Linked DNA regions of Tamandua tetradactyla. The protein of the gene in region 1 interacts with the protein of each later gene in a biochemical or structural test. Links are inferred from orthologs where the notes say so. Each region holds a gene or a part of one and is shown in the gene's direction. Other genes may lie near its edges. The genes, in order: RAB5A, RBSN, CHML and APPL1.

Evidence for each region.
Region 2: the proteins of RAB5A (region 1) and RBSN form a complex in vitro, tested with the Homo sapiens proteins (3 studies listed by BioGRID, with this or other methods). The link is inferred for Tamandua tetradactyla from reciprocal best matches to the Homo sapiens genes RAB5A and RBSN.
Region 3: the proteins of RAB5A (region 1) and CHML form a complex in vitro, tested with the Homo sapiens proteins (2 studies listed by BioGRID). The link is inferred for Tamandua tetradactyla from reciprocal best matches to the Homo sapiens genes RAB5A and CHML.
Region 4: the proteins of RAB5A (region 1) and APPL1 form a complex in vitro, tested with the Homo sapiens proteins (2 studies listed by BioGRID and IntAct, with this or other methods). The link is inferred for Tamandua tetradactyla from reciprocal best matches to the Homo sapiens genes RAB5A and APPL1.

The regions. Positions count from the first base shown.
Region 1 is NC_135341.1:68,345,812-68,352,704, reverse strand, and holds the start of RAB5A (ras-related protein Rab-5A), read left to right. Parts: upstream 1-3,871; 5' UTR 3,872-4,281; intron 4,282-6,893. UniProt on the Homo sapiens protein: The small GTPases Rab are key regulators of intracellular membrane trafficking, from the formation of transport vesicles to their fusion with membranes.
Region 2 is NC_135335.1:35,137,912-35,145,907, reverse strand, and holds the start of RBSN (rabenosyn-5), read left to right. Parts: upstream 1-4,977; 5' UTR 4,978-5,132; intron 5,133-5,281; exon of another isoform or gene 5,282-5,312; intron 5,313-6,235; 5' UTR 6,236-6,329; intron 6,330-6,937; 5' UTR 6,938-7,095; coding exon 7,096-7,243; intron 7,244-7,996. UniProt on the Homo sapiens protein: Rab4/Rab5 effector protein acting in early endocytic membrane fusion and membrane trafficking of recycling endosomes. Required for endosome fusion either homotypically or with clathrin coated vesicles.
Region 3 is NC_135333.1:12,778,181-12,785,955, reverse strand, and holds CHML (rab proteins geranylgeranyltransferase component A 2), read left to right. Parts: upstream 1-4,769; 5' UTR 4,770-5,040; coding exon 5,041-6,999; 3' UTR 7,000-7,670; downstream 7,671-7,775. Other genes in the region: OPN3 (opsin-3), read left to right, coding at 426-798. UniProt on the Homo sapiens protein: Substrate-binding subunit (component A) of the Rab geranylgeranyltransferase (GGTase) complex. Binds unprenylated Rab proteins and presents the substrate peptide to the catalytic component B.
Region 4 is NC_135341.1:27,903,504-27,910,380, reverse strand, and holds the start of APPL1 (DCC-interacting protein 13-alpha), read left to right. Parts: upstream 1-3,860; 5' UTR 3,861-3,987; coding exon 3,988-4,041; intron 4,042-6,877. UniProt on the Homo sapiens protein: Multifunctional adapter protein that binds to various membrane receptors, nuclear factors and signaling proteins to regulate many processes, such as cell proliferation, immune response, endosomal trafficking and cell metabolism.

The DNA.
Region 1 (6,893 bases):
TGAGAACACTTAAACCTTAACAACTAGCCTTTAGTAGTATTTAAAGTAAATCTAACAAAGCCTGAAATATCTATGCTATACAATAATGCATATTGTATAGCATATGCTATACAATAATGCAAAAATGCATAATGTATTTGTCACTCTAAATGTGACAAACTCAAACTTGACTATTTTTAAGTACAGGTTATTCTTTAAATTGATTTTATAGGGTCAGTATTTGTCATGTCCTAAACACATAGTGGATATAGGACACCTAGCCTGAAATTTGAATGGAATTTACAGGATTCTGGTCTTTGCAAGAACACTATGAAAATTTTGTAGCATCCAAAGTTTAAAAAAGTGACTAAAGGATACTATCTCACATTTTAAAAAATGTTTACAATATAATTGTCTAGTTAATATCCTTCTCTCCCTAAGAGCATTAAATGACTTGATGGTGTCTGACTTGATGATGTGTAAATCAAGGTATGTCTGTATAAAGGCTCATTCAATTCTTTATTCTACAAATATGTATTGAGTCCCTACATTGTGTTAGTGCTGGGGATACAATAGAGAATAAACCAACCCCTGGTTTCATGTAATTTAAATTCTAGTGGGGGATACATAACCATCAAGTAAACCAATAAATAAGATAACTTCAGATACTGATAAGTATTTGAAGAACACAGAATGGTGTGATATGGGAGGAAGCTACTTAAAAATTGGAAGTTTCACTCCTAGGTAGGTGACATTTGAGCTGAGAACTGAATGATGCTCTCAAACAACACAAAATTTTTAAACATGGCCAGCTCAGGGTTCTACAATCTTTTCTCTTATTACCTTGATACCAGGCTTAAAACTCCTTATGTCAGAGTTACTATTTGGTTTTGCCTCCAGACAAATTTTAGTTTGTCTAAGATAGTCCCAACTAAAATAAAATGTTACCATACGTGACCATCTATGCAAAAGATTATTCTTCAAGTACACAAGGCAGGACAGACTTCCTCGACGAGAAAGTAGAAGATCTGGGTGCTGTGAGTGATTGAGAGAGCCAAAGTGATGAGAATTTAGTATTAAATGTCTGTAGATTTGAGGGGAATGTAAGCACTAAGGCAGGATTTAAGTCCTTGCGATTTTACTTAGGCCCCATTCATTTCACAGCTTCCTTAACAAATTCTAGGAACCATAAAATACATGACAATTATCAATCCTCCTCGTTATCTGGGGTCAGGAAAAAGAAAACAGGCATACTGTGAGTGGCAATTCAAGAGCAAAGCTTTACTGTGGCATTTCAGTTTCTCTAAAAATATACCTCTGCATCTTAGAGGTGCCAGCCACTGGCACAGCACTCTTCAGATAAACATTAAGACTAAACTGCAAAATATTGTGGAATGTATTCATGGAGGATGTGAAATAAAAGACAGACTCTAAACAAAAACAAAGGAGGTGGTGCACAGGTGTTCAGCGGTAGACTGTTCCTCTTTCATGAGGGAGACCCGGGTTCGATTTCCAGACCATGCACCAAAAAAATAAAGGAGGAAGCAATATACTAGAAAGATTTAATGGGGGAATTTGTAACAATTCATAAGTTTACGCATCCCATGTGTTATTTGTGAGGTCTTCATAAGCCAAATGTTCACCACTCTCAATGTAAATAAGTTTGACTAATAAATTGGGGGTCCCTATAACTTTTAAGGCCCTATAAGTCTCTGTGAGGAACTGAAATAATGAAAAAATTATGGTACTGACCTTTAAGAAATTTATAATTCTAAGGGTAATGAAGGGCTGAGAAGAAAAGTTTAGGCATTCTCGAACTGTAACATAAAGCAAGATGATAGGAGAACAATTATAGAGGGTAAGCAAAGTATCATGAAAGTACAGAAAAAATAAAATTAAATCCATTAGAAGTATCTCCAGATGCCATCCAAGGAGTTGGCATCCCAGCCAAGGAAAGATCAGCAATGATGAGTGGTAATGATATTCAAGGTAGAGAGAACAAAGTGAGCAAAAAAGCTAAAATGGGAACACACAGATAATTAGGGAACACAGAGTACACTAGCGAGGTTAGGGCACAAAGCAAAACTTTGAGGGAGAAGGAGAATTTGGAAATAGAATGCAAGAAAGGTGGGTTGAGACTAGCACTGAAGAAGTTTTTACTCTTTTAACAAGTAATGAGAAGCCATTGAACATTATTGAGTAGAGGAGTGGCTGGCAAAAGTGTGAAAAGTGGATTGAAATGGCAATAGTGTGTATTAATTCCAATTTATATGACTATTACCATGGGGCAGGGTTTGGGATTAAGAGCCCAGATTTGGGGATTAGAGAATTTTTTATAATAGAATGCATAATGGTTTTTGAGGGAGAAAGGAAGAGTTAAAAATGATTCTTCATTTTCAAGTCCTGGTGACTGGGAGGCTGTTAATGCCAGGCATGAAAAGGAACAGGTTTAGGGCACAATGGGTTTGTTTTTAAACATGCTGTTGACATATCCTACTTCCTGATTATTGCTGAGATTGTCCAAAAGGTATAACCATGACTAATACATCATACTGGAACAACCCTCTGGGGACAAGGTGTCACAGATACCATTTATGTATGACACATAATGCTTTTTTGGTTAGTAATTGGGGAGTTGATCTGCAAGACTGGCTGTTCAAGGATTCAAATCATCTTCATTGCATAATGCTGAGGGAGATCCACAGGATACCTTGCCCCAAGTACCCTTCCAAGACAACTATTGATGCCTTTACAATAGGACTAAAAAAAACCCTGAACATTACAACTGAAAAATAGCCCTCATTCCGAAGGAAAATCAATTTAACATTCTTCTACCAAATTACTATAAAAATGCGGGGAACGGGAGACAGAAACAATAAATGCCTTGTCTATTATGTGAGATTTGACCAAAGACGCATGCCCTAAGTCTGCTGTGGAGGGTGGGCTGGCTTTCAGTTGAATCTATGTTTAAGAACTAAAGTTCTGAAGGCTAGAATTCCGTTTCATCACCAACTAGGTGTGATTTTAAACAAATTACTAAATCTCCGCGCTTCAATTTCTTCACCCGTTAAATAGGCTCTGAAGATTCCTATGTCCAGGCATCATGCTAGACGATCTCTCTAGGGTTAATATCCTCATGTAGAGAAGTAGAATTTAAACAAGTTAGTTAACAGAGCGTAATCTTCGTAATAAAGTGGGTTAACTCCGGCGAACAGTAACTAGCGAAGGGAAAACTGAATTAAAGATAGGTTTTATTTTAGAACTTGCCCCTCACGACCAATAAACTCTCAAAAAAAGGTAATTATTAAGATCCCTGTCCCCCCCCCCCCCAACGCCCCTGCCAATGACAGCTTTGTTGATGGGGAGGGTCCTATCCGCTCCGTGGAGGGGATATGACATACACCCTTTACGTCCCACCCACCTCCAGTAACAGGTGAGGGACTGCCGCCGCAAGTCTCTGGTGCTGGATAAATTCCTTCAAAACCAAGTCCCTTGAGCTGAGTTGCTCAGGGCTACTCGCGATGCGGAGAGTGCGACTGTGACCTTATATTCATGAAAGAGCCTCACCGCCCCACGACCTGGAAAAAATACACTAATTCCTTCGGGTCCTCCCCCAAAGCAGGGTCCGGGAGTGTTCCTCAAACCTCCGCCCAGAGCCCAGAAAGCCCGGATCAGATAACAATGGCGCCGGCGAGGGCAGGTCCGCTAGCGCTAGGGACCCAAGAGGAAAAGAAGCCTCAGTCCCCGACCCTGGACGCTCGTAGCGGCCACGTGACACACCCCGCCCGGTCCAGCAAAGGAGGCCTGGATGGGCGGGGCTTTGAGCGGGTGGGGTTGTAGATGGAGCGGACCGACGGGTGACGACAGGAAGTGACGAAAGGTCGTAGTTTTCTACGTGCAGCGACGTGGCGGCGGGGTGACGCCGCCCGGCGGAAGTGGCTCTCTCGCTGGGACTTGAGTGTTTGTGTTTTGGTTCGTGAAGGAGCCGGCGGCTGGGCCTAAGGGGAGGAGGCTGAGGAGGGAGGAGGAGGAAGAAGTAGTCAGAACCCGAGCGCCGGCTGCGGCGGAGGAGGAGAAAAGAAAGAGGAAGGCGGAGCGGAGAGAGGCGGGGACGGAGCCCGACGGGGGCGGCACCAGCAGCACGAGCCCCACACCATCCAGTTTGAGGGGAGCGACGCGAGGAGGAGACACCGTCGCTGCCGGAGCCACACTCACAGCCTCAGTCTCAGTCCCGTACTTCAGGCCGCGTCTGGGACCTCTGCCAGGAAGCTTCGGCCCCGCAGCCCCGTGCGCTGTGTCCAGGTAACCAAACCGACCCCTCCCCCTGCCCAAAGCTGACACGAATCCAGGCAAAGCGGACCCCAGCCTGCCCGTGGCCCCGCGGGCACTGAGCCCCCTGCCTCGTACTAGTGCTCGCGCTCAGAGTTGTAGAACTCGGCATCTGACCCAGCCGGTCTTGGGGACCGGGATTTGGGGACTGGTTAAGGAGCGACGGGTGTCACCCTCTTCCCTTCTCAAGATGGCGCCGTAGAAAGAGTACTGGAGGCCGCGGCTCCGCCTGCCTTCTGTCCTGGGGGTCCCAGCCAAAGCCAGGCCAGGTTCGGGGGAGGAGGATGGGAAAGATGGCCAAGTGGCCTGGCGGGTCCTTCTTGTTCAGGCGCTCAGAAATTGGGTATGTATGAGGTACTCAGAGACTCCAGAGGGGAGCCGGGCCTACAGCAGGTGTGAATTGGGGAAGCCCCGCCTACCCTCGACTTCTTCGGATGGGCAATGTTAGAAGGAGTCTTCTCAAAAGAGGCTCTTAGAGACCCATGTCTCTATAAAAGGTGGTGAACTGCAATTTTAAAGAGATTCAAGATAACAAGGACGCTGAACATCCTCAGTGGGTAGACACCATGAAACCTGCTCTGGATTCTGTTCCCAGGAAGTTGGATACTCCCCTCTCCCTGAGACTTTCAGACTTGAAGCTCTGAACGTCATAATTCACATATTTGACTTTTGGTTTTTCCTTAAGTGGCAGCAAACTATTTAGGCAGTTACCTTTCACATAACTAGCAGGAAAAAAAAATACTTGTTTAACCACTATAATAATCATTCAGGACGATTCAGAAACTTTACTCCTAATGTAAAATGGGGATAATAATATGAGCTCATGGGGTTGTCGTGAGTTAAATTCATATAACAGTGCCATGCACAAAGTAGGTGTCCATTCACTGTTAGCTGTTAATAAAATTTTGGCCAAAGAGCACTTAGAAGGAATTTAGCTACAGAATAGGAATTATTTTTAAAAAGTTTAAAATGCACGTTATGCACACTCCTCAGTTTGCACGGCAAAAGTTTCTGTAAATAATACAAATGAATGCACATACAATTTTATGTTAACTGCATATTTATAATTAAATTCCATTTGTTTCTCATTTGAGAACTTTGGGATAGCCAAAATCCAGTAGCTTTAAACATTAGAGACCTAGCTAAGTCAGACTCCTTTGTTTTATATGGGAATCTGATGTTTTCACTGGAATTTTGGAAGCACCATAGACGTTCTGAACTAGTTGTCCTTGTTGGCTGTTTTGAAGATAACATAGTACAAACAATTGGGGAGGGTTTTACTTGGTATTATGTATAGAATTATTTGAAAGTGTACTGGCGTATTTTCAGTCTAGGTGACATGCTACTGATACTTAATCACTATCAAATGGCTACATTAATTGCCAGTATTTAATCCCTATTATGTATTGGGTACTTTATTGAGATTCTTTATATATACTCTCATTTGATTTTCACAGCACCTCTGCAAGTTAGGTATTACAGAAATGGAGACTTAGTTAAAGAACTTGCCCAGGAATTGGTATTGCCAGGATTAGATTCCCATGTCTGGTGTGTTTGAGGGATGTTGAGGAGTTGTGACTTTTTTAATCATGAAAAATACTAAGTGTATACAGAACTAGGGAGAATTGTGTAATGAATCCATCATCCAGCTTCGCTAATCTCATGGCCAATCTTGTTTTATTTATACCTCCAATTGTTTGAAGGCACCTCTCAAGTCATAATAGCATTTTATCCATTCATTATGTTTTCCTAAAAGATAGACACCTCAGTAATTGGTGTCAAGTAAACAGGGCAGGCTGTCTTAATCATAAGGTTTTGTGGATATATATGTTTATTAAATTCGTTACCAAGAGTGTGTCTTATATATATTCAAATTTTATCAGGAAGGCAAATTTCTTATACAGGTCAGCTGCTTGAAATTTAACAGGGTTCTTAGGTTAGGAATCATTCATGGGTTTAATATTATTGATGAGCAAGCACATGATCAGATCTCGATTAAACGGGAGTAAACTACTGATTGATTTCTGAGTAGTCTGGGAAAGGGAATAGATTTTTTAAATATTTAATAATTCCTGTTGAGGTTGATAATTAGCATTATTAGGTAAGAAGTAAAAACAGAAGTTTGACTCTAGAATAATTTTTTTAAATGTATTGTTAAATAGAAAATAATGGCGTATTCATTGTTAGCTCAAAAACTACAGAAAAATGTGAGTAAATAAATCATTAATAATCGTTCCAGACAGAGAATCACTGTTAACATTTCTGTGGTGTGATATTCTTGAGCAGATGAAACTGTTTTAAGTCTTAGCCACTAGTTACACAAACCTAGGGCCTTAAAATATTTGTTTTTCCTAAATTAACATTACTTAATGAAAAACATGTACTATTTAATAGAAACCTTCAAATAGTAATAACCAACATTTATTATACTCTTAGTAAGTGTTAGAATATGGTCTAAGAGCTTCCCATTTATTTGTCCTCAAAATTATTTTCCCCATGTAGTTTAACTCTGGAACCTGAACTCTGGATCACCTCCTGGGTTGCCTGAGTAACTCTGTGACCTTAGTGAAGTTACTTAACCTCTC
Region 2 (7,996 bases), on another chromosome or scaffold:
ATGGGAATAAAAATCCATTCCATGCCCGTGCTGGGTTTGAAACTGTTATGTACCCCAGAAAAGCTAAGTTCTTTTCATCCAATCTTGTGGGGGCAGATCTATTGTTGGGTGAGACCCTTTGATTAGGTTGTTAGATGTGACCCAGCCCATTCAGGATAGGTCTGAATCCATTTACAGAAGTCCCTTAAGAGGGAGACCTTTTGGAGAAAGCACAGATACTTGGAGACGGAAAACATCCCAGGAGATGCTAAGCTAAGAGATGAAATGCAGAGTTTGCACCGGAGAAGCTAAGAAAGGCTCCTGGAATCAGAAGTTGAAAGCAACGAACCAGGAGCAAGGACCAGCAGATGCCAGCCACATCCCAGCTGACATAGGTGTTCCAGAGGCTGGCCTTTCTTCAGGGTCCAGGTATCATCTTGTTGACGCCTTAAATTCAGACATTTTCATGACCTTAGACCTGTAAATCTGTAACCTAAAAATTCCCCTCGGTAAAATCCAACCCATTTCTGGTATATTGCTTCCCAGCAGCTTTAGAAAACTGAAACAGTACTCTACTTGCTAAGTGCAAGGCTTGAATCTTGTCACAGGGCTGTGGCTGGTGGAAGAAGGGACCCCCTCTTGCATTTGTCAAAGGCCCCTTTAGGCTGGCGATTGTCCTGCTGTGCCAAAGGAGAGGCCAGTTCCAAACCTGTAAATTGGGTGACCTTGCAGCCCACATACCACAAGGCAATCCATATTTCTGATAGTTTAGGTTTGTTAAGTCCCCCACTCCCCTGCCACAGATTTTGGATTCAATGAATCTAGTTACTATTTAATTCTATTCTGAGTTCTCTTCAAAGACTTCCCATATGGCAGGACCATGACTCAAAAATATTTCCATGACACCAGCCTGGATCCTTGCACCTCCTATGGTATTGTCTGACTCAGCTGTCACAACCGCTAAGGCATTTGTGTGACACCTCCCTTCTTTTTTCTTTATGCAACAAAAATTTTTTTTTGTATTTTTATACTCACCAGTTTATTTTGAAAACAACCTTTTCTGATATATATCCAAATGAATCTGAAATTATAGTTATCTCAAAGTACATAGTAGTTAACTATAAATGAAACACTGATAAAAGAACATGACTTCAACTTAATAGAATTCTTTTTCCAGTTTTTTAAATGATTTTTTCCCATATAAGCCAATATATCATATTTGACACTTGGGTTATATGTTCATATAAATCATACACATTTGTCAAAGTGAGCATAAGATTAAACAGGATACAGTGTCCTCTCTGGATATAATTAAATTTTCAGAGGCAAAGTGGTCCAAATGGGAGCAAAAAGTTGAGTGCCTCATGAAATAAACTTGATAAAGAAAAATTAAGACTAACGCTAAAGATTTATACCATAAATCATTCTCTTTCCTATCCTTTTAACATACAAATGTGACTCTGGGTATGTGTGAATCAATATACTTGTAATCAAGATTGTGAACTCCTATGACTAGGGGAGCATGTAATTCAACAAAAAGCCCTGGGATCAAAAAAAAAGAGGTAGTATAGGTGAAGAGAAGACATTTGTCCATCAAGTTATACATGTTGGCTTATTAAAGAGATAGATTATTTAGAAGTCTCAATGGGCTCAGATATTGACTTGGGCCTGAAAGTGATGTTTAATTATTTATTAAGATCATAATTAAACATATTAGAAATCTAGTCATCACTGGATAGTACCTTAAGGTTAAATACTGAAAAGAAATGATCGTTACAAAACACACAAAACGTTATGTTTTATAGTTCTATTTTGTTTGTTCCACTATTTTTGTAATTGGGGCAAGAGAAGAGATCCAATTTGTTTAAGAAAATTTAATGTACCCCATAAGCTGTCTGAATCAGAGATTTTTATTAATTCTTCTGCAAACACAACACTGATTTCCATCTATAATTTTTTTTTACAATTTTTTTTAGGATAAACAATAAGTCAGTTAAAAAAAGTTGTGGACTTGAGCTATAAAACTTTACACTTTTTGCACAGTTGAAAAACCTAGAACATCACTGTGAAGATGTTCATCATGATTGGCCTTCAGTAATGAATGGATGCAGCTTTTACTGTGACTTCTCCAAAAATGCTTTGAGCACCCAACACACTACTGGTACACAGCCTCAAAGTCAGTCATTCCTATAATAGGGATCTTCAAAAATGAGTTGGTTTGGGGGATCATAGCTCCCAAGTAGTTCAATTTTTACTTTGCAGTTTTTAACTTCACTACCTTCTCTATTCAAGTCTCTCAGATTGCTTTCATCCATACACAATATATAATCAAATGTGCAAAGTCTTCTTTGGTAACCTGCCAGGCAACGTGACCCATAGGAATGTCATGCTTCTTCATGCAATTTTGCCCTTGATAATCAGGAGGGTTTCCTATCTCATAATTGGATATTGTGGCACTGTCTATACTCCAATTATCTGAAATCTCTTGATCAGTTACAAATTTTCTGAAAACTGCTTCTGCAGTGGGTGACCGACAAATGTTACCCAGACATACACACAGCACTGACTTGGGCAGCTACCCTGCCCATGTTCTCAGCTGCAAAGAGAGACCCAGAGTGAGAGGGAATGACCTGGCTGGAACTGGATATGAGCATGATGCATGCACACCTGCAACAAACATTTATATTGTCAGTCCTTCCTACGTGCCAGAGACTGTTCTAGCACTTTTCAAATATTAACTTATTTAATTCTCCGATGCAGGAGGTAAGCACTCTTATCTCATTTTACAGATGAGTAAATTGAAACTGAGAGAATTTAATGACCTGTCTGGGATCAAACAAGTGGCAGATTCAACCCAGGGATTCAAACCTAGGGTGACTGTTTCCAGAGTTTTGTGCTTTTAACTACAAGGCTGTCCTACCTCTTAACTCTTTCTTGTGATTCGATTCTTTCCCTCCCTCCTTCCCTATGGGCTTTCCTCTTTCATTCCTCCTTCTTTCCTTTCCTCCTTTTCCTGCTTCCTTCTTGACAGACTTGGGCAGCTGACAGCTGTGTCTCCTAGATACCACCCAGCCTGGCACACCCTTTGCCAATTCTCCAGACAAGTGCCTGCTAGTCCTTTGGTCATTAATTTCGTTGCTTAGTTTTTGTTTTTTAGTTTTGTAGCTATCATTATTTTAATTTTCCTGTGTCAGATTTCTCATCTATGAGATGGAAACAGTATTAGTTTGTACCTCACAGGGTTGTGGGAAAATTAAATGAGTTAAGACATGTAAAGAACATAGGACAGTGCCTAGTACATGCTAATTGTTTAGTAAATATTAGTCATCATTATTATTTTTATAATGGAAACAACAGAGATGTTGGAAGGCTTAACTAACATTGAATATGAAAGTGCTTTTATAGGCCGTAAATCAAACAGGAAAGGCTTTGCTATCATTATTCTTAAAACTATTAATAGAAAAGCAGGGGCCAATCTGTGATGATTTCCAGAATTAATTCACAAGCTGCTGGTCACATTGCTACTGCTGTTTGGAGCAAATGAAACAGTGACTGTGACAGAGTTTTGTAAATAATAACTCATAACTGTTTAATAAAAGTTTCCTCCTGGGTGGGCCATGGGGGCTCAGCAGGCAGACTTCTCGCCTGCCATGTTGAAGACTGGGGTTCTATTCCTGGTGCCTGCCTACGAGAAAAAAAAAAGCTTCCTTCCCTGACCTCAACCACAATCTTCCTTGTAATTGTGGCTCCTCCTGGCATTTGTTTGGCCCCAGGCATTTAAGATGATATTTTCTCTCTTCAAGTCCTGGCTCTCCCACCCCAAGACAGAGGCTGGTGAAGGAGGGGCTTGTTGCTTTTCTTTTGATAGGTTTGCAAGTCCCTTCTTTATGCCAATACTTGAAAGATAGTCATTGCCTACCCCTGCTGATCTTGTAAAGTTAAAAAAACAGAATTAAAAAAAAATCAGGTTGGGGGACAAAAAGAGTTTGTAAGTCTTTGGAAGCATTTGTCTGTGCATATGGGGAAACTGAGATCCAGAGAGGAGACGCCATCTGTTCAAAGTCACAGAGTAAAGGACAGCCAGGACTAGAACCTGACTCCTGGCTCATTGCTCTTTTAGTGGCGATCCCCTTCCAAAAACTCCATACTGTCCAAACTGAGAGCCCATGTCTTCAAACCGTAGGTGACATAGGCCCAGTCTAAGCACAGAACCAGTGCTCCTGTCCACAGATTTGCTGGGGAGGACTCTTTGGAGAAAGGGAAAGCAAGGTAGGTGAAGCCAGCAATACGGAGCCCCTAAAGTCACAGTATTTAAATCTAAAACAACTCTTTGAGGCGAAGACTGATATCCCCTTTGTACTTAAGGTGTTCGGGTCAAAGAGGTCAAGTAACATCCGGAATCTAAGCCCAGACTGCCCACCATGTTCTGCAGCTTCTGCTTCTGGAGCCCAGGCCATTGCTACGCCCAGCGTCCTACAGGAACACCCACGGGACTGGGATGAGGTTGTGTCTCTAATGCCGGGTGGTACCCAGCCCAGTGCAGGGAACGGAGTTGGTACTGACAGATCCGTTCTGTGTTCTGAAAATGCTACAGGTTTCCCCATGATATACACCTCCCGAATTACGCCTTCCCATTCCAAGCCCTCACCCGCATGTGTGTTTCTCTTCCGAATATTTCCACATCCTTTAAGCCTCCTGTAGATTCCTTCTCTTATCTCTCAGGGATTAATTCAGACTGCAGTTCAGGGTGTACTAGGAGGCGTTAAAAAACCCTCGGGTGGCTCACAGGGCATTCTGAACAAGGGACAAAGAACTTGAGGCCTCGATTTCCTCATCTGTACGATAGGCGCTGCGGCCGTATCAAAGTATGCGGAATGTCAAAATGCCGCAAAATTACGGCGTCCCTCACCCTCCTCTTTCCTACGGCGCCTGCGCAAAAGCCGCTGGCCCGCCCCGAGCTATTCGAATCCGTCCCCGCCCACTTCGCGCCCTCGAAGACTCGGCGCTCGACGGGCGACTGTCAGCCTATCTTCCGGTTTCGAGACCGCCGCAGGCGCACCTGAGGAGCGCCGAGCAGCCGATGGCGATGGCTGCCGCGGTCGCGGCGGTGTGAAGGATTGAAGGTCCAGAGTCTGGGCCCGAGGACTGAACAGGTTAGCGCGTCCGCGGGAGTCTAGCCGGGTACCGAGGACCGGGCCGAACCTGCCGTTAGGGGACGCGGTACCCTTCGGGAACCGAGATGGGCGGGCCGTGTGACTGTGGGATGTGTTTGGTTGCGGTGGGTGTGACGTGTGAGGTGCGAGGTGGGGGCGTTCGTGTGGTGCCTTTCGCCAGTACGTGCTTGAGGTTATGCTGGGCGCCAGCAGTTGTGTTTGGTTATGCGGCTGAGATTTAGATGGTTGTCTGCCGACACCTTGTATTTGGTTCTCGCGTTGAGAAGGAGAAGTGCAGGGGGTTGCCAAATGTGGGGGGAGGGACGCCACCGCTCCGGGGGGGTGCTGCTTCGGGGAAGTGAGTTTTGAGCTGGGATGCGAAACGTGAGTGTGTGGTTTGTGATTGGCTTGTGGTGGTTATGGGGTTAGTGCATGGGAGGGAAGGGGGCTGTCAGAGTCAGAATGTTTGATGAACCACCAACTGGGGAGGGGACTAATCAAACCTTGGGTTACTGGTTAAGTGACCAAATGGAAAAGGGGCTGGGAATGCGTGTGTATACTCATTGGACTTCTTAGCTAAAAGAATAAAAAACCAGCCTGGGGTCACTATTTATTTTCTAGGTCACTGCCACCTTACAGCTTTGAGAACCAGGCAGCCCTCCCTAATGGTTCTCTGAACAAGTCCATCCAAAGCCGAGGGCCACATAGTCCCCTTCTTTCTATCATTCTGTGCTGTGGTCTGGGACCCCGTGGCTCCTGAGAAGTTTCTGCTGTTAAGGAACGGTTTGATCTGGATTCTCCCTATGGCTGGGAATCTTTCTTTGGTGACTTAGGAAGTTACTTTGCCATGGCTTGATAAGCCCGAAAATGTAACTTATTACGTTCTGAATTGTTTGAGCACCAAATCCTTTTATTTTTGAAGCTGTGAGAACATTAGGCTTGCTGCTCAACTGCCACTTACTGGCTTATAAAATGTAGTAAGCCTATTGGAGAGAAAGTGCTTTATAAATATAAAATACAAAATGGATTTTTCTTTTTGACCAATAGGTTTCTAATGCTCCTCCTTAGACTGAGGTTGGTTTGTTTTTTGTTTGTTTGTTTAGGGCAGGCATTGTGCCTTTTTCATCTTTGCTTTACTGGCACAGTTGCCTTGCAAGTACTAAGAGCTCAGTAAATGTGGTTGAAGAAATGAGAAAGGTAAGGAGTCAAATAAAAGCTAGTGCTTGATGATGAATACTTCTGAAATTTCCCCAGTGGCCACAGTGGCATACAAATGATAAAGTTGGATCATTTGGGATATTGAATGTATTGCCTTAGTATTGCGTTTGCTTTTTAAAAAAAAAAACAACTTTTTTAGTTGTAAACTTTAACATATTAAGTGTTTGCTTTTTTTTTTGTATGCTATATGGTGGTGGTCACATTTCATTCTTTTTCCATGTGACTATTCCATTCTTGCAGCACCATTTGTTGAATTTTTTTTTGCTGGTGGGGCGTGCACAGGCCGGGAATCGAACCCAGGTCTCTGCATGGCTGGTGAGAATTCTACCACTGAACTACCGTTGCACCCTGTGTTTGCTTTTGAAGTTAAGTTTTCCTTTCTTTGAGAATCTGTTTCCCATGTCATTTAGCTGCCATGGTCCAGTGATACTCTCATATCTTAGTGTCTTGGTCCGATGATTTGAGGCAACAGTTTGTTTTCTCAGACTTGTACTGAATAAACTTTATGTGAATTGTGAAAAGAACAAAGAATTCTTAATTGCTGCTAATTTGCCTGAATTGGCTTTTCCCCTTCTTTCCTTTCTTAGGGCTCTTCCTACTCCAGAGAGGAAACCTCATCCAGGGTTATGATGCCACTTTCTCACTGTCAATGTGACATTGGTTAGCTAATGCTGCAGGAACCCTGGTGCCTCACAGAGGAATCGCATGAGGCCACTGCCTTGCCAGGACTGAGAGGAGCACTGCCATGGCTTCTTTGGAAGACCCAGGGGAAGTGCGGGAAGGCTTCCTCTGCCCTTTGTGCCTGAAGGACCTGCAGTCTTTCTATCAGCTTCAGTCACATTATGAGGAAGAGCACTCAGGGGAAGACCGTGATGTCAAAGGGCAAATTAAAAGTAAGAGGCAAGGATCTTGCTTGTCCCATTCTGTCACCTGGAGCTTTAACTCATGGGATGGTTTTCATCAGCGTCCATGTTGCCACCAGAATATGATAATAATAATAGTAGTTACCGAACATACATCTAGTGTTTACCACATGCCAGGCATTGATCAAAACTCTTCCCTTGTGTTAATTTAAATCTCACAATGGTTATATGATTATGAGCCGGAATTAGGTAATTAGCCTAGAAGTCACACAGTGAGGCAGAACCTGGCTTTGAATTTAGGTTCAAATCGTACCACATTCTGCTCTCTCTTGCTAGATTCTTTGAATTATTTAACCACCAGGCTAGAGGGTTTTAGAGTGGAATTCCTTTCCTTTACTATTAATATGGAGGTAACTTATGCACCATTTACCTGTCATAGATTCAGGTCTTCCCACCAGCCTTTCTTCCTCAACTAGACTTTGTTCTCTATAGTCCGAAGAAAGAAGGTCAGACTTGAAAAGCAAAGAAAAAAACTAAGGAATGGCTTTTGAGCTTCCTGGGGTTCAGGTCCTGGAGAGTTGAAGAAAGAATTTTTAACTGTGCATTGTGTTTGTCATTTTCCTGGACTTCAGATTCTAATCCCTAAATTAGATGCAGCTTTTCTGGAACTCACTTACCTAGTAAGTTAGCTACTCTGCTTCTCAGGAAGCATTTCTGAAGGTGATATGCTTAAACAGGTTTGGATGCTGTTTTCACAATTCGTTGTTGGGGGGGAGAGAAAGG
Region 3 (7,775 bases), on another chromosome or scaffold:
TAGGCGTTGAGAAATATTTATGAATGAATGATTCCATAAGTGAATGAGTAAATGTGTGAACGGACATGATACTTCCAAGCTCGTGGAGGGAGAGCTCTGCAGTTGACTTCCCTCGCTTCTGCCCTACCATGTCGGCGCGCCCCAGTGGCAGCTAGTCCACGCTCGCTGGTGCGCGCTGGAGCCCGGGGGAGGGACCGGCGAAAGGAGGGGGCGTGGTCACGATGACACGCTACGCGAGGGGGCGTGGTCAGGAGGCGCGCCGGGCGGAAGCGGCTGCCTGCCAGTTCCCGCGACGCCTCGCGGTCTCGGCGGCTTCGGATGGCTGCACCCTGAGCCCGAGCTGAGGCCCCACCCAGTGCGGAGGGCGCCGAGGGCTGTGGTGAACGCTGAGCGCCTCCGCCCGCCCAGCGCGCCGGCGCCGGGCCATGTACTCGGGGAACCGAAGCGGCGGCCGAGACTACTGGGAGGTCGGCGGGGGCGCGGGCGCCCAGGGAGCGGGGCCGACGGGGACGCTCAGCCCGGCGCCCCTCTTCAGCCCGGGCACCTACGAGCGCCTGGCGCTCCTGATCGGCTCCATTGGGCTGCTGGGCGCCGGCAACAACCTGCTGGTGCTCATCCTGTACTACAAGTTCCAGCGGCTCCGCACTCCCACCAACCTCTTCCTGGTCAACATCAGCTTCAGCGACCTGCTGGTGTCCCTCTTCGGAGTCACCTTTACGTTCGTATCCTGCCTGAGGAACGGCTGGGTCTGGGACACCGTGGGCTGCGCGTGGGACGGGTTTAGCAGCAGCCTCTTCGGTGAGTTGGGCTGGGAGGAGAAAGCTTTCTCTCCACTGCAAACTTCCCGTTTCCCGCAGTGCCACCACCCCTGCGACAGCTTGCCGCCCAAGCCGCCCCCCGCGCCTTCCCGCTCGCGCTCCCGGCCACCGCCGTGCTCTGTCCCACGCTCCTGTCACGCTGCCACCCCCGGTTGCACGGCGCCCCTTCCTTCCTTGCCTCATCGCTTCCTTCCCTCCCACTGGCCGCGATTCCGATCCCCCAGGTAGACGCTGAACCCCAGCCTGTCTTCACCCGCAGTTGTCCTTTTAACTCCAGTTCCTCCCTAACTCTACTCAGCCCCTGCCCAGGTCATCTCATTTCTCCTTTTTCACCTCCTAATGTAATTCAACAGGTCACGACACAACGGCTTTTACACTTTGAGAAAAGAAACGAGGGGCTGTAGAGACAAGAGAGTCAAGAAAAACAGTGATTAACTTAGCAATGTTGGAGTGGGTGACGGAAAGAAATTTAATGCATACACAGTTTTTTCCCTAAAGTGAGAGATAAGTTACACATTAAAGAGCAATGTGTAAAATTTTTTTTTTTTTTGGTTTTGCTTATTAGCAACTGTAAACCTTTGAATGCTTCTTAGGGAGTGAGCGTTTAATTTAGGTCTTTAGAGTGCAAATTGGCTTGTACCCTATAAGCTACTTTTACTGTATTTTTTTCCTTATAGGTCCTATGAAACCAAAATCTAAGGTGAGATTGCAAATGACTCAGAGAATCTCAACTCAGGTGAACAAGTAATTAGCTGTGCAACCTTTAGATTCATTAAAGCAGAACTTGATTGTTAATTGAAGATTTGGTTCTACAATATTCCCAATCCTTATGGAAGAATTAAGTTTCTCTTGAGAGGAGTCTCAAGCTTGGAAAATAAATTATTTTTTGTGTACTCTAGGAATTTCATTTGTATAAAATTTGAGATAGAGATGTGTACTTCTCAGGTCTTAAATTTCCTTTTGTATGCTGAAATCCATTAGTAATTTATTACTGCTTTTATCTTGCAAGGTTTTGGAGAACATAATCTTTGTAGCATTATCAAAAACATTTTCTTGTTTACCAACCTACTATGCTCTGACAAATTCAATTATGATATTTGTTGTGATTCATTTTTAGGTATTTTTGGGAAACAAAGAAAATATCATAGGGATTATGATTTCATTTATTTGATTGCTTAAATAGTTTTGATACCATTCCCCTGAACTACCACCAAGCTTTAACGTGGGGATTTCATTTGGACATATTTGAAACTTGGAAAGGGAGCTATAAGTGTATGTAGGTGGCACTATAGATGGCTATGCTATTATTTTCTTTATATTAATTTAAAAATACCTATCAGGCAATTTTTAAGGTGAGGCTAAACTTTAAAGAGGGTGATTCAAGTGCAAGCCAATAGTAATAGTACCAAAGATGGGCAACAGGTGTTTGATCATATACATGAAAGTTCTTATTTCCACAAAATACCTTTTCTAGTGCTGGGAAATTCTATTTATATCCCATCTCTATGCTGGGAGTTTAAAAGCAAGGGTATATTGACTTCTTTTTTATTACCATCATCTGTTCTGTTTCCTTACCTCATCCCTCTGCCTGTCCCACCCTCTTCGGTCTCCTTGTCACCTCCTTTTTTTTTCTTTTTCACCTTCCCTGCTTGATTCCATCCCAATCAAAAGTGATTTTCTAATGCTGGAAATGTTTACCACACGGTGTTTTACCTGAAGACTGCTCTGTTTTTCTTGGCATTTAGTTAGTGCTTTCATCCCTGTCTTTATTCCTGTTTTTAAATTAGAGGTAGAAATTCAGGGTAAGAGGTTCTGAGACTTGTTTAAGCCTTGGGAGACAAGTCAGTAATGGGGTTATGATGGAGCTTAAGAAGTTCATAGCAAAAATTAAGAATTTCATTGCGTGGAGTAAAGTCCCAGATTTGTACGTCTAGATTAGGGTTAAAGATGCAGAAAGGGAGGTGCTTCCCTCATTGTTATCCCTGGGCAAGAACTAATCAACCATGGCAGAGGAAATTTTAAAAGCTGGACATTTCTGCTTCATCCAGAGGCATCTGGCCAGTTGGCACAAGAGTAGGTTGCGCTCTTGAATCTGTGACTGACAAATTGTGTGGACTTCCCCAAGTCTGTTAATCTCTACATGTCTATTCTCATCTTTATTATGGAGTAGTTGAGCAAAATGTTCCCTCAGGTTTCACACTATGTTTTTAATGACTCCTTTGCTATCTATAGGTTAGAAGGAACCTGATCTTAGCATTTAGAGCTGTGTCCTCTCTCCTTACTCTGCCCTCAGCCCCTATTTCCTCTAAGCCAAGAATAAGCACATACTATGGTCAGTCTTCTAAAGATAACCTCATGGGTTCTATCTCCCTCTTCACACCTTGCTGGAAGAAGTAAGAATAAATAATTCAGACTTACTTACATAAATGCTTGAGTGGGTCAGGCATTTCTTTCATTCTCTGCTTAATTCCCGATTTCTCAGAAAATACCCCAAATAAATGAAATCCCTACTATTCTTGAGGCAGAAGCTTTGACTAGACAGAACTGTGAGAATTGTCATTTCAGTTAAACTGTCCAGTTCAGTGAACTAATCTATTTAATATAATTCCAGTTGGATGGCTTGTTTTACTTATGTCTAAAATAATTAATCACATTAGCCTAGGCAGGCCCAGCTTGTACTGAGCTAGATTTCAGTTAAGTTAAGCAGAAAGGGAAATCAGAGTTTAAAGAATTCTCACTCTTGCTGTGCAAAGATGACTGATAGTTAGAAGGGCTCCCTAGCAGTGTAGTGTGTGAAGGCAGAATTCACACATAGGTGTGGGAGGTGAAAGGAAAGGGCATATCCAGGTAAGTATACCCTTCAGTACCTCGGCTGTTCACCTCTGGCCACACCTACTTTCAGACTTGCACATGGAATATAACAAGTATTATACCAGAAGTTAACAGGAGAGCCTTTTGTAACTACCACCTTCATGCCTTCAAAACCAAGAACAACAGAAAACAAGTTGGTCTTTCAAGAGAATGTTTAAATAGACCTATTTCTTGGGACACAGAGAGTCAGGGTTGCCGAGACAAAGTCTGACAAGAAGCAGAAATCACTCTCTTTAGTGTTAGAAGCAAGTGTTAAATATGTTAATATATTTTAACATTTGAACCCAGGAATTTTGTAGCTTATTACCTCTATAAAGCACACATGTACTTGTGTACATTGATATAAAGAGTTATAAATAAATATCCCTCCTCAGTAGGTCTATACTTCATATCTCCAGGTTTAAAAAAATGCCAGTGGCTTTGCTGAGTTAATCTTTTGTTAATACACTGACTGGTTAATTCAATAGAAATACTCAAACCCTCATTTTGCTACAAGATCCTAAGGGTGGTTGAGGCCTGAAAAGACCTAATTGGCTGGTGCAGAATCACCTACAGACTGTACTGGTCACGGTCATGATCATGGCAGTAGTCACATAATACATAATCTGTTTCCACAAACACAATGCAGTCAGACATTTCTTTCTTATTTATTTTTTTTTTTTGGAGTCACACATTTCTAAGCTCACAGCTATATATAGTTTTACGTTTTACTCAAATACTAGTTTTATTAAAACCAATGTTATATATTTTATTATGTTAATTCTTTATTTTTGTGGGATAGTATTATGTCCATTCTTGATTATTGAATTGCCTGATTTGGGGAAGTATATCTGTACTGTTCATTTTTTTAAAGAAATAAGAATATATGTAAGTGTGTATTTAATGACTTGGGCTAGCAGAGGTTTTATCCAGGTAACAAGTCAGATTTCAATAGACTATAATTGTTATTACATGAAATTATTTTTCTCTTTTAATGTTTACAATTGTATTCTTTCTTGAATTTTCTTCTTTCAGAGAAGAGTTCCAGTCACAAATGCATATGTGATGCATTTTGACATTTACTGCTAAGATGAAATGCAGAAATGAAAACCACACATCAGTTTTGGTATTCTCAAATGTGATTAGATGTACTTTGTCATGTTTTTATGCTACTGACCTGTAAGAAAAAAATACCCCCCAAAAAAGAGTAGTAGTTAAACAGCTAGGACTGTAACCTCTGCTTCTGGGATAAACTGGAACATCACAAGAAGAGATTTGATCTTGGCATACTCATACCTCAGCTGAGCCCACAGCCTAGATTCATAAACATTTCCTTCATCGGCAGTTGTCAGCAGGTGCTTTAGTTCCCAGAATGGCGGACAATCTCCCTACAGAGTTTGATGTGGTTATAATAGGGACAGGTTTGCCTGAATCCATCCTTGCAGCTGCATGTTCAAGGAGTGGTCAGAGGGTTCTGCATGTTGATTCACGAAGTTATTATGGAGGAAACTGGGCTAGTTTCAGCTTTTCAGGATTGTTATCCTGGTTGAAAGAATATCAGCAAAACAGTGATGATTCAGAAGAAAGAACAGCTGCATGGCAAGACCTGATCCATGAAACCGAAGAAGCCATTACTCTTCGCAAAAAGGATGCAACCATTCAACACATAGAAGTTTTTTGTTATGCCAATCAGGATTTGGATGACAATGTTGAAGAAATTGGTGCCCTGCAGAAAAATCCTTCCTCAGTGGCATCTAGTACTCTCACTGAACCTCTGGATTCTGCATGTGTACCCAAAGAAAGCCACTTATGCAATACTAACTATGAAATGCCTGCCAAAGACACTCCAAAAAGTGATAAAGGGGTTTCACTAGAAGTAAATGATGTAGAGGAAATTCTGGAGAAGGAAAATGATTGTGGAGATAAAACTTTTCACACAGTTTTAGATGGAGGTAAAGATGAAAGCAAACCTATGGTAGAAGACAACACTGATCAACCAAAGAAAAATAGGGTTACTTACTCTCAAATAGTTAAAGAAGGCAGAAGATTTAATATTGATTTGGTATCAAAGCTGCTGTTTTCTCAAGGATTGCTAATTGATCTTTTAATCAAATCAAATGTAAGTCGATATGCAGAATTTAAAAATGTCACTAGGATTCTTGCATTTCGGGAAGGAAAAGTAGAACAGGTGCCTTGTTCCAGAGCAGATGTCTTTAATAGCAAAGAACTCACAATGGTTGAAAAGAGAATGCTAATGAAATTTCTTACATTTTGTATAGACTACGAACAACATCCTGATGAATACCAAGCTTTCACGCAGTGTTCGTTTTCAGAGTACTTAAAAACTAAAAAACTAACTCCCAACCTCCAGCATTTTGTACTGCACTCAATTGCAATGACATCACAGTCATCTTGCACTACGTTAGATGGCCTTAAAGCAACAAAAAACTTCCTGCAGTGTCTGGGACGGTTCGGCAACACACCTTTTTTATTTCCCTTGTATGGCCAAGGAGAAATTCCCCAGTGTTTCTGCAGGATGTGTGCAGTTTTTGGTGGAATCTATTGTCTCCGCCATAAAGTACAATGCCTTGTAGTTGACAAAGATTCTGGAAGATGTAAAGCAGTTATAGATCACTTTGGTCAAAGAATAAATGCTAAATATTTTATTGTGGAGGACAGTTACCTTTCTGAGGAAACATGCTCAAATGTGCAGTATAAGCAGATCTCCAGGGCAGTGCTCATTACAGATCAGTCTATACTAAAGACAGATTCAGATCAGCAGATTTCCATTTTGATAGTGCCTCCAGCAGAACCAGAAAGTTGTGCCATTCGGGTGACTGAATTATGTTCTTCAACCATGACATGCATGAAAGATACCTATCTGGTACATCTGACATGTCCATCTTCTAAAACAGCGAGAGAAGACTTAGAAGAATCAGTGGTGAAGAAATTATTCACTCCATATGATGAAACAGAAATAGATAAGGAAGGACTAACAAAGCCAAGACTCTTGTGGGCTCTTTATTATAACATGAGAGATTCTTCTGAAATAGGCAGAAGCTCATATAATGGCTTACCTTCCAATGTTTATATCTGCTCTGGGCCTGACTGTGGTCTGGGAAATGAGCATGCAGTCAAGCAAGCTGAGACACTTTTCCGGGAGATCTTTCCAGATGAAGAATTCTGCCCCCCACCTCCAAATCCAGAAGACATTATCTTTGATGGTGATGATAAGCAGTCAGAGGCTCCTGGAACCAATAATATAGTAATGGCCAAAGTAGAATCCACTGAAGAAATAAAAAACCTAGAAAACCCAGGGAAGCACCTTTAAAATTAGAAAAAGCAAACTGGAAATTCCATTTTGGACCTTCATCCTGGCATCAGAACATTCTCATTTAAAGGACATATTAGAAGTGGTTATATGATAAATGCTATGTTTGCAGATGTTGCTGTTAAATTTGAGACATTCAGTGTTTGGAAGCCTTTGTTAATCTTTCAGTAACTGATTTATTACTTATTGGACATTTTTTTGGCTGCCAGATAGACTCCCTGATCCAAAACCTTAAACTGCATTTGCTTTATTTTGGAATTAGGTACATATGTGAGGTTTCATTACTAGGAACTCTGCTTAAAGGAAGGTAATTTGTATCTGCTGATCTTTAGATTTTACCATTGTTTACAAAACAGTATCTAAGAAATAGTATAAATACTTTTGTAGCTGTTATAAGTTTCTGTCTCCTCTGCTTTCCGAGGAGATCTGTTTGAATAGTGAAACACAAAGTAAATTATATGGTTTTTTTGTAATATAACATGTAGGCATGATGATGGCATTGCAAGTAATACAAGTGCCAATATGATAAAATATATTTAACTACGATTGTGAGAAAGATTAGCTTGGTTTGATCCTTTATTCTTTGTGGAGGTCTGATGTTTGAAATACGTCTTACAAATACATCAGCCTGACCCATATAAACAACTGGGGCAGTGAATGATAACACCACAGGCTTCTACATTACAAAAAAAGTTGGAGAGTTCAGTTCTTAGTTTAAGAACTAATTCTTGGGAGGTTCATTTCACAGAGAATTTAGTGAATAATTCAAGATTGAT
Region 4 (6,877 bases), about 40 Mb from region 1:
TCAGTGGCCTAAAGTTAGAGAATCCAATTAGAAGCTGTATTAGTCAGGGTTCTCTAGAGAAACAGAACCAACAGCAGATAGCAATAAATATGAGACTTATAAAGGTGGCTCATACAATCGTGGGAATGGAAGTCCAAAATCCGCAGTGCAGACTGTGAAGCTGGCAGCTCTGATGAAGAGTCTGGACGAATTCCACAAGAGAGTCTCGCTGGCTGAAGAAGCAGTGGAAAAGTCTCTCTTCTTCCTTAAAAATCTTCAACTGATAGGATTATCTCTTTGGTGGGGGACAGGCCTTAGTTGATCTTGGATGTAATCAGCCACAGACCCGATCAACTGACTGATGATTTAACACACCAAGCTTTCCAGTTTATCAACCAGCCACAAATATTGTTGCAGCACCCGTCAGGCCAGTTGTTTGTCTGACCAGATAACTGGGCATTATAACTTGGCCAAGCTGACACCAGAACCTAACCATCACAGCTGTTTTAAGATTCTTCCAGATTTATAATCAATTAAACCACATTTCTACCCAATTGTCTGTCAGTCTGTTTTTTTGTTTTTGTAATTAAAATTTTATAGAAATAATGCATTTAAAAACATATAAAATAAATATATAATTATTCAGTGGTAAAATTCTTGGTGGTTTTTCCTCACATTTTATGTCATGTTTTCATGTACATCAAAAGATACATTCATATTATAAGACACATAAATCTTTAAAGTTAAAAAACACTTTGAGGGCGGGCCGCGGTGGCTCAGCAGGCAAGAATGTTCGCCTGCCATGCCAGTGGACCCGGGTTCGATTCCCAGTGCCTGCCCATGTTTAAAAAAAAAAAAAATTTGATACAGATGCCCTCAAATTTTTTGTTGAATGAAAGACATATGGTAGGGATCATGTTTCGCAATTTATTTTATCCTTTTAAATACAGTGCTTTGATAACAATACATGCACAGTGTGTGCTACGTAAGGTAAAGAATTTCTAGTCAACTAAATGCCCCACATGCCCATGAGTTTCCATGCCAGGCAAAGCAGAGGAAAGAGCAGTGAAGCCTTTTGCCCCAACGGAGCATTTATTTTCCCCTGCAAACTATGTAATCATATATATATTATATTAGTTAAAAAGTAAATAGTAGGTGCTAGATATTTCTACAAAACAAGAATTCAATCTAAAAACTAGAACTTGAAATAATTAAAAATTTTCTAGTTTTAATTGTGTTATTCACCATACTCATGTTTTCATCTGAAACTTTTGCATCTGAATGAGAATGAAAGTCATTCTCTTTCAAATGAGTGGTTATGCCTAACATAAAGAACTAGTCATCACTTAAACTAGTATTTTCTCATTTTGATATCATTATTTGTAAGTGTTCTTAAGGTTGAAAACTAATTTAATCTGCTTTGAGAATTTTGTTACAGAATTTTGGAACCAGCTGCTTTAGAATGTTCTAATTGCTTGATGGCCCTGTCAGAGATTTCAATATTTCTAGGTAGAATCTCTAATTTTCTCTTTTCTTCTGATCTTTAACAGCACAGCTAATTACGATAGATTGAAATTTCTGATCAACTGGCCCAGGGGGTACCTCAGATACATGCACTGTACAGCGACATTAAACATCTCCTGGCATTTCCCAGATCATCGAGAAACTTAATGACTACCTCATCGATAATTCTGGTGGCATGCTTTAGAGATTCCTTGTGCTGGAGGTTTCTAATTGCTTCCACTGAGACTTCAACAGTGGAAGTCTCAGTGGGGTGGAGAGTTCGTCCCATCAAACGATTTGTGGTTGGATTTAATACTCTTTCTTCATTGCTAATCTGCCTCATGTGCTCTTTTAGATACTGCGGATCATTTCCAAGAGGATTTCTTTCTGTTGCTCAACAGTAGTTGCTGCTTCTCTCAAAGCTTCAACCCTGAGCTCTCTGCTGGTCCAGGCTCTTCAGCCAGGAGGGTGAGCGGTAGAAGCGCCCCTCGTTGGCTTTTCACGATGATCTTGGACTGAGCATCTGAGCCTTCGTGGGGTCACTTGCCCCAGGTAGCGGCAGGTCGAGTGTGGTTTTTGTTTTTTCTTTCAACCCGCTGAGCCTGACAAGAATTCCTTGTCCCTCTCTGGTGATGTAACAGTCTCTTGAAAGTTCTCTACAGCAACAATTTGTACGTACAAAATACACAAAAGAGGAAACTATTTAACTTGATGATAATACCCCACTCAGACAACCGAATTTTTCACTGGAATTATTCAGTTTGACTTGTGAGTAATTCCCCACTGGTTTACCTCATATGATTACGCTTATTTCTGAGACTTTATTTTCACCTGTCACTTACTTCTTACATTTACCAGTTTTCTATACTTTCTCCTTTATTTATAATCCAAATCGCAGTTCTATCCAGAAGGTCACTTACCTTAAGAGTCTTCCTTTCCAGAGCAAGGTTGCAAGCACTCTTGCTGGCAGTGTAGAAAAGAGGCAGGAAGGGCAGAGCTGGGTTGGTGGGGTGTGCATGATGCTGGGTACAATAAGCATCTGGGAATCCCACTGCTAACAACATATAAACTTACTCCAAATCGTCTTTCTCTAAAACTGAAGACCTCTTCTAGAATGTCACTAGCTATTTATAGCAAAACAGTCCAAGAAATATCTATCATTTAAAGGATAATTCTGTGGCACTGCATTGCAGGTCTACTTGACAAAATGTTTTTAAGCTGATTTTATCTTTCCTTCAAGAGATCATGGGGAAACCTAGTCTTTTAGCTTAAAATATGTAACTTCCATTCCTGTCACTGTGTTTGGATTTGTTCTCCACTTTATTTGGATTTCTTCGCAATGTATCTGTGGAATCAGGCAGCTAACACTCTTTGCTCAGCATCTCTTATATTTCTTAAATGAAAATTGAACGGAATGACAGGATTAATGGCTTTATTTTTAGAAGACACTAAGTGATTTTGCCATTTTCTCCCTATACCGATGAAAGCTTCTTATTATCCTGCAGAAAAATAAATGAGGCAGTGTAAGTTTGGGGAACAGTAAAAAAGGTAGGAGGAAGACCCAGCTTCTGGTATTGATCTGGTGGAATCCTCAACTTCTTTGAGCGTCACTTTTCTCTACTGCAAAATTAGAGGCTGGAGAATCTATTTAAAGCCTTTTCCAAATTTTTCTGATTTGACAGAAATGCTAAGCAGTTACTAATATAATGAACTCGTGAACCTTGATTTAAAAAAGATATTTGCATTTTCATTTGTAATTTAATGGAAATATGGAAGTCTGAACTGCAGGTGTTAGAACTGACGAAGTGGCGGAAAAGTCACGTTTTCAACGGAATATACTGATATCCAAGTGCCTAGAAAGGAAACGTCGAGTCCACTGTCCAAGAATTTACCAGAAATCACAGGTCACTGAGATCTGCGTCTCCTAGCACCATTTTGCTGGGTGCTCCGGACAGGAAGCACCCAGGTAATAATGCGAGAAGGTAACAATGCGAGAAACTAAAGGAAGGAGCCAGCCAGCATCAGGGCTTTTTCCAAGGTCTCTCACGAAAGAAGTTGCAGGAGAAGTGAAACCGTCAAAATTCCCCAGTATGGTCCTCACTCGAGGGTCTGGTTGCCCGCCTTCGCACGCCGTGGGGGAGACAGTCCCCTACCAATCATCCAAACGCGCGGTGGTCGAGAAGACACCCACCGAACACTGTTAGTGCCGCCTCCGCGGTCTCCACCGCCTGGGAGCTAGCGCCCGCCACACAGCACCGCTCTGCGAAAGGACCTCCCAGCCAGTCTCGCAGCGCTGACGGGCGTCGCCGCGAACCAATGGGCACGCGGGAGGCGAGGCAGGGTGGGCCAGGGGGCGGGATTTCCCGCGCGCTCGCTTAGGGCCTAGAGAAGGCGGCGCCGAGTGGCGACGACGGCTGCGGCGCTTGCGAGGGAGGGCGGGCCGAGGTCAGCTGCTGCGGGCGGGTCGGCCTTCGCGTCTCCTACCGCCGCCCTCCCTCCGCCACGATGCCCGGGATCGACAAGCTGCCTATCGAGGAGACGCTGGAGGACAGCCCGCAGGTGAGGCGCGGGCGGTTAGCAGCTGAGCGCGGCGGGACGACCCGGGGCCTGGCGCCGCCGCCGCCGCCGCAGGTACCCCCGGGGCCCAGGTGGGCGCCCCCGTGCGAGTGCCCCCGCCCGTCGGGCCGGTCGCGGGCGGTGCCCGGAGCCGCCGAGGCCGGGGCCTGCCTCCCGAGGCCCGCGGCCCGCGTGGGCCTGCGCGGCTGGGCCGAGAGCCGCGCACTGTTTCCCGGACGTCCGCAGGTTGAGCCCAAAGCCGCCGCCTTCGCGCGTGGGCCCATGGTGACATAATGCGCGCGGGTTTCTCTTTTATTTGTTTTTATCGAAGTGATGCGCCGTGATAAATCTCGGTCCTGAAACTTTCCCGCAGACCGTTTCGGAGAAAATGCGGAAGGGGCAAAAAAAAAACCGGTCGACTTTGATTTCTGAAGGCTTTGCAAGCCGGAGAAGAAAAGGGGTAGATAGGTTTTCCTCGGGAGATGCTGAAAGCCTCCTGATGTCCCCGGGTGGGGAGTCTTTGGAGAAGACCAATGAAAGTCCCGGAGCTAGAATCCGCCCCTCCCTGCCAAGTGTGTTCGCTGTCGTGGCCGCGACTGTCCCGCTGTCACTCGAGCTGTGCACGGCGTGTGATGTACTACTTCTTCGCGGATCCTCGTCCTTGGATGCAGAGTTGGCCTTAGTAAAGTAATCAAAATAAGAGCCTCGTGTTCTGTGTTTGGTCCATTGGGGATGATGCTGTGTGATTGCTCTGGCTTAAGTCACTCCAGCAAAACTTGACCATTTTATATTTGTTCAGTATTGGAGAATGTAATCACTTATGCTGAGAAAAAAGTTATCGGTGGGGGCTGTAACTTGCACAGAAACACTTCATCTGTAAGCCTGTCTTTTACACAATAATGTAAGCGATTTAAGACGATACTGTTGGCTGGATGCCATGCAGAAAGGAAAATTTCTGAAATACTGTCCATTTATAGCTATAATTAAAGATTTTCCACGTCTTGGTAGTTTGATATGGCCCCAAAAGAAGGACAGGAAGAAAGGTCTGGATTTCCTCCTCTTGGGTGGTATTTCTGCCTGAAATTTTTGCCAGTTTTGTCAAGTTACAATTGGACCCTGATTGTGGAACTGATTTTGTTCTGTTTTTCATTCTGAAAGTTATCTTCAGAGTCCTGGAAATATGCGCGCGGGTTTCTCTTTTATTTGTTTTTATCGAAGTGATGCCCCGTGATAAATCCCGGTCCTGGAACTTTCCCGCAGACCGTTTCGGAGAAAATGCGGAAGGGGCAAAAAAAAAAAAACAAAAAACCGGTCGACTTTGATTTCTGAGGCTTTGCAAGCCTTAGAAGAAAAGGAGTAGATAGGTTTTTCTCGGGAGATGCTGAAAGCCTTCTGATGCCCCCAGGTGGGAAGTCTTTGGAGAAGACCAATGAAAGCCTGTACTTAACACTAAGAGAAACCCATATTTGGATTATCTTGATTACCAGAATCATTAGTGCAAATTCTTCTTAATGACTTTCTTCACTGAACCACCTGTGCACCTTGAGTATTAATGTTTTTAAAGGCACAGGTCATATTAATATCAGTTCTACAGTAATCTTTAATGAAATAGGCCACATTGATATTCTTTTACTTTCTAGAAGCAGTACTTTTGAACTAGGTAATGTTTATATGGGATCAGTTGGGACAACTGGGATTTACGAAGGGATGAAACTTGGAGGTAATTCTTAGGGAGAACCTGGGGCAGGATGGAAAGCCCTGGATCTGGGGTTTAGAAGGTAAGAGTTATAGACTTGACTCCCTAGTACCTTCTGCTTTAGGATGAATAACTCAGCTTCTTTGAACCTTAGCTGTTATAGATAATGAATGTTTTTATTTTTATTCCTGATTTTAAAAATCATAGTTGTTTGCTTCAGAAAAATTTGAAGGTTCAGAAAGAGTACACACATATACCTCTGATACACCCATCAGGAAACCCTGTTAACAGTTTGTTTTCTTTAGTGCAGTCTTTTTTCTTTGTATTTTGATGTAATTGAGATTATATTGTGCATAGCAATTTTTATCTTGCTTTTAACTTGACATTATAGCTTAAGAATCTTCATGTTATTATATTTTGAATAAACAAGTTTAAGGGCTGCACATTTCCTCAACTGCTTTTACTTGGACTTCTAGGATTTTTTGAAACATTCACTCTAATAAGTAGGGCTGAAATGAATGCCTTTGGCCATTAATTTTTGTTTTCATCCTGGACTATTTTCTTAGGATAGAGTCCAAGAAATAAAACGGCAAAGAATTTGAAAACCTTTAGAGCTCCTAATATGGTTAGTTTTTTTTTATTAGAACGTTTGATATTAAAGATGGCCTGTCAGTTGCTATGTAAAAATGTTAACTGGGAGTCATGTAAGCCTATTTTGAATTACAGTTATCCCTTTTTTAGAACTACTTTACAGGAACTAAGTATTGAAATAGAGGGGGATTTGTAAGTCCAAGTCCAGCTGATGTATTATAAGCATCTTTAGAATTATCACGCACGAACCACACCATTCTCAAAAGATAGGTCATATGTTGAGACAGAAAATCTTAAGACTATACATGATGACTTGTCCACATTTATAGTTTTGAAAATCAGATACAAATTGAAACTTCTTGGGTAGAAACAGGGATGATCTTTAAAAATATAATTGATTTTATGCGTAGATAGGTATTTTATCATTGATTCATCCATGGTAAAACTTAAGAAAGCCACACTCCCACATGCAAACTTCTCTCTTGAGCATACTGTGAAATAGTCTTGAGACACATATTTTTCCCCCACATTTTAACCTCTCTGATAATGGGA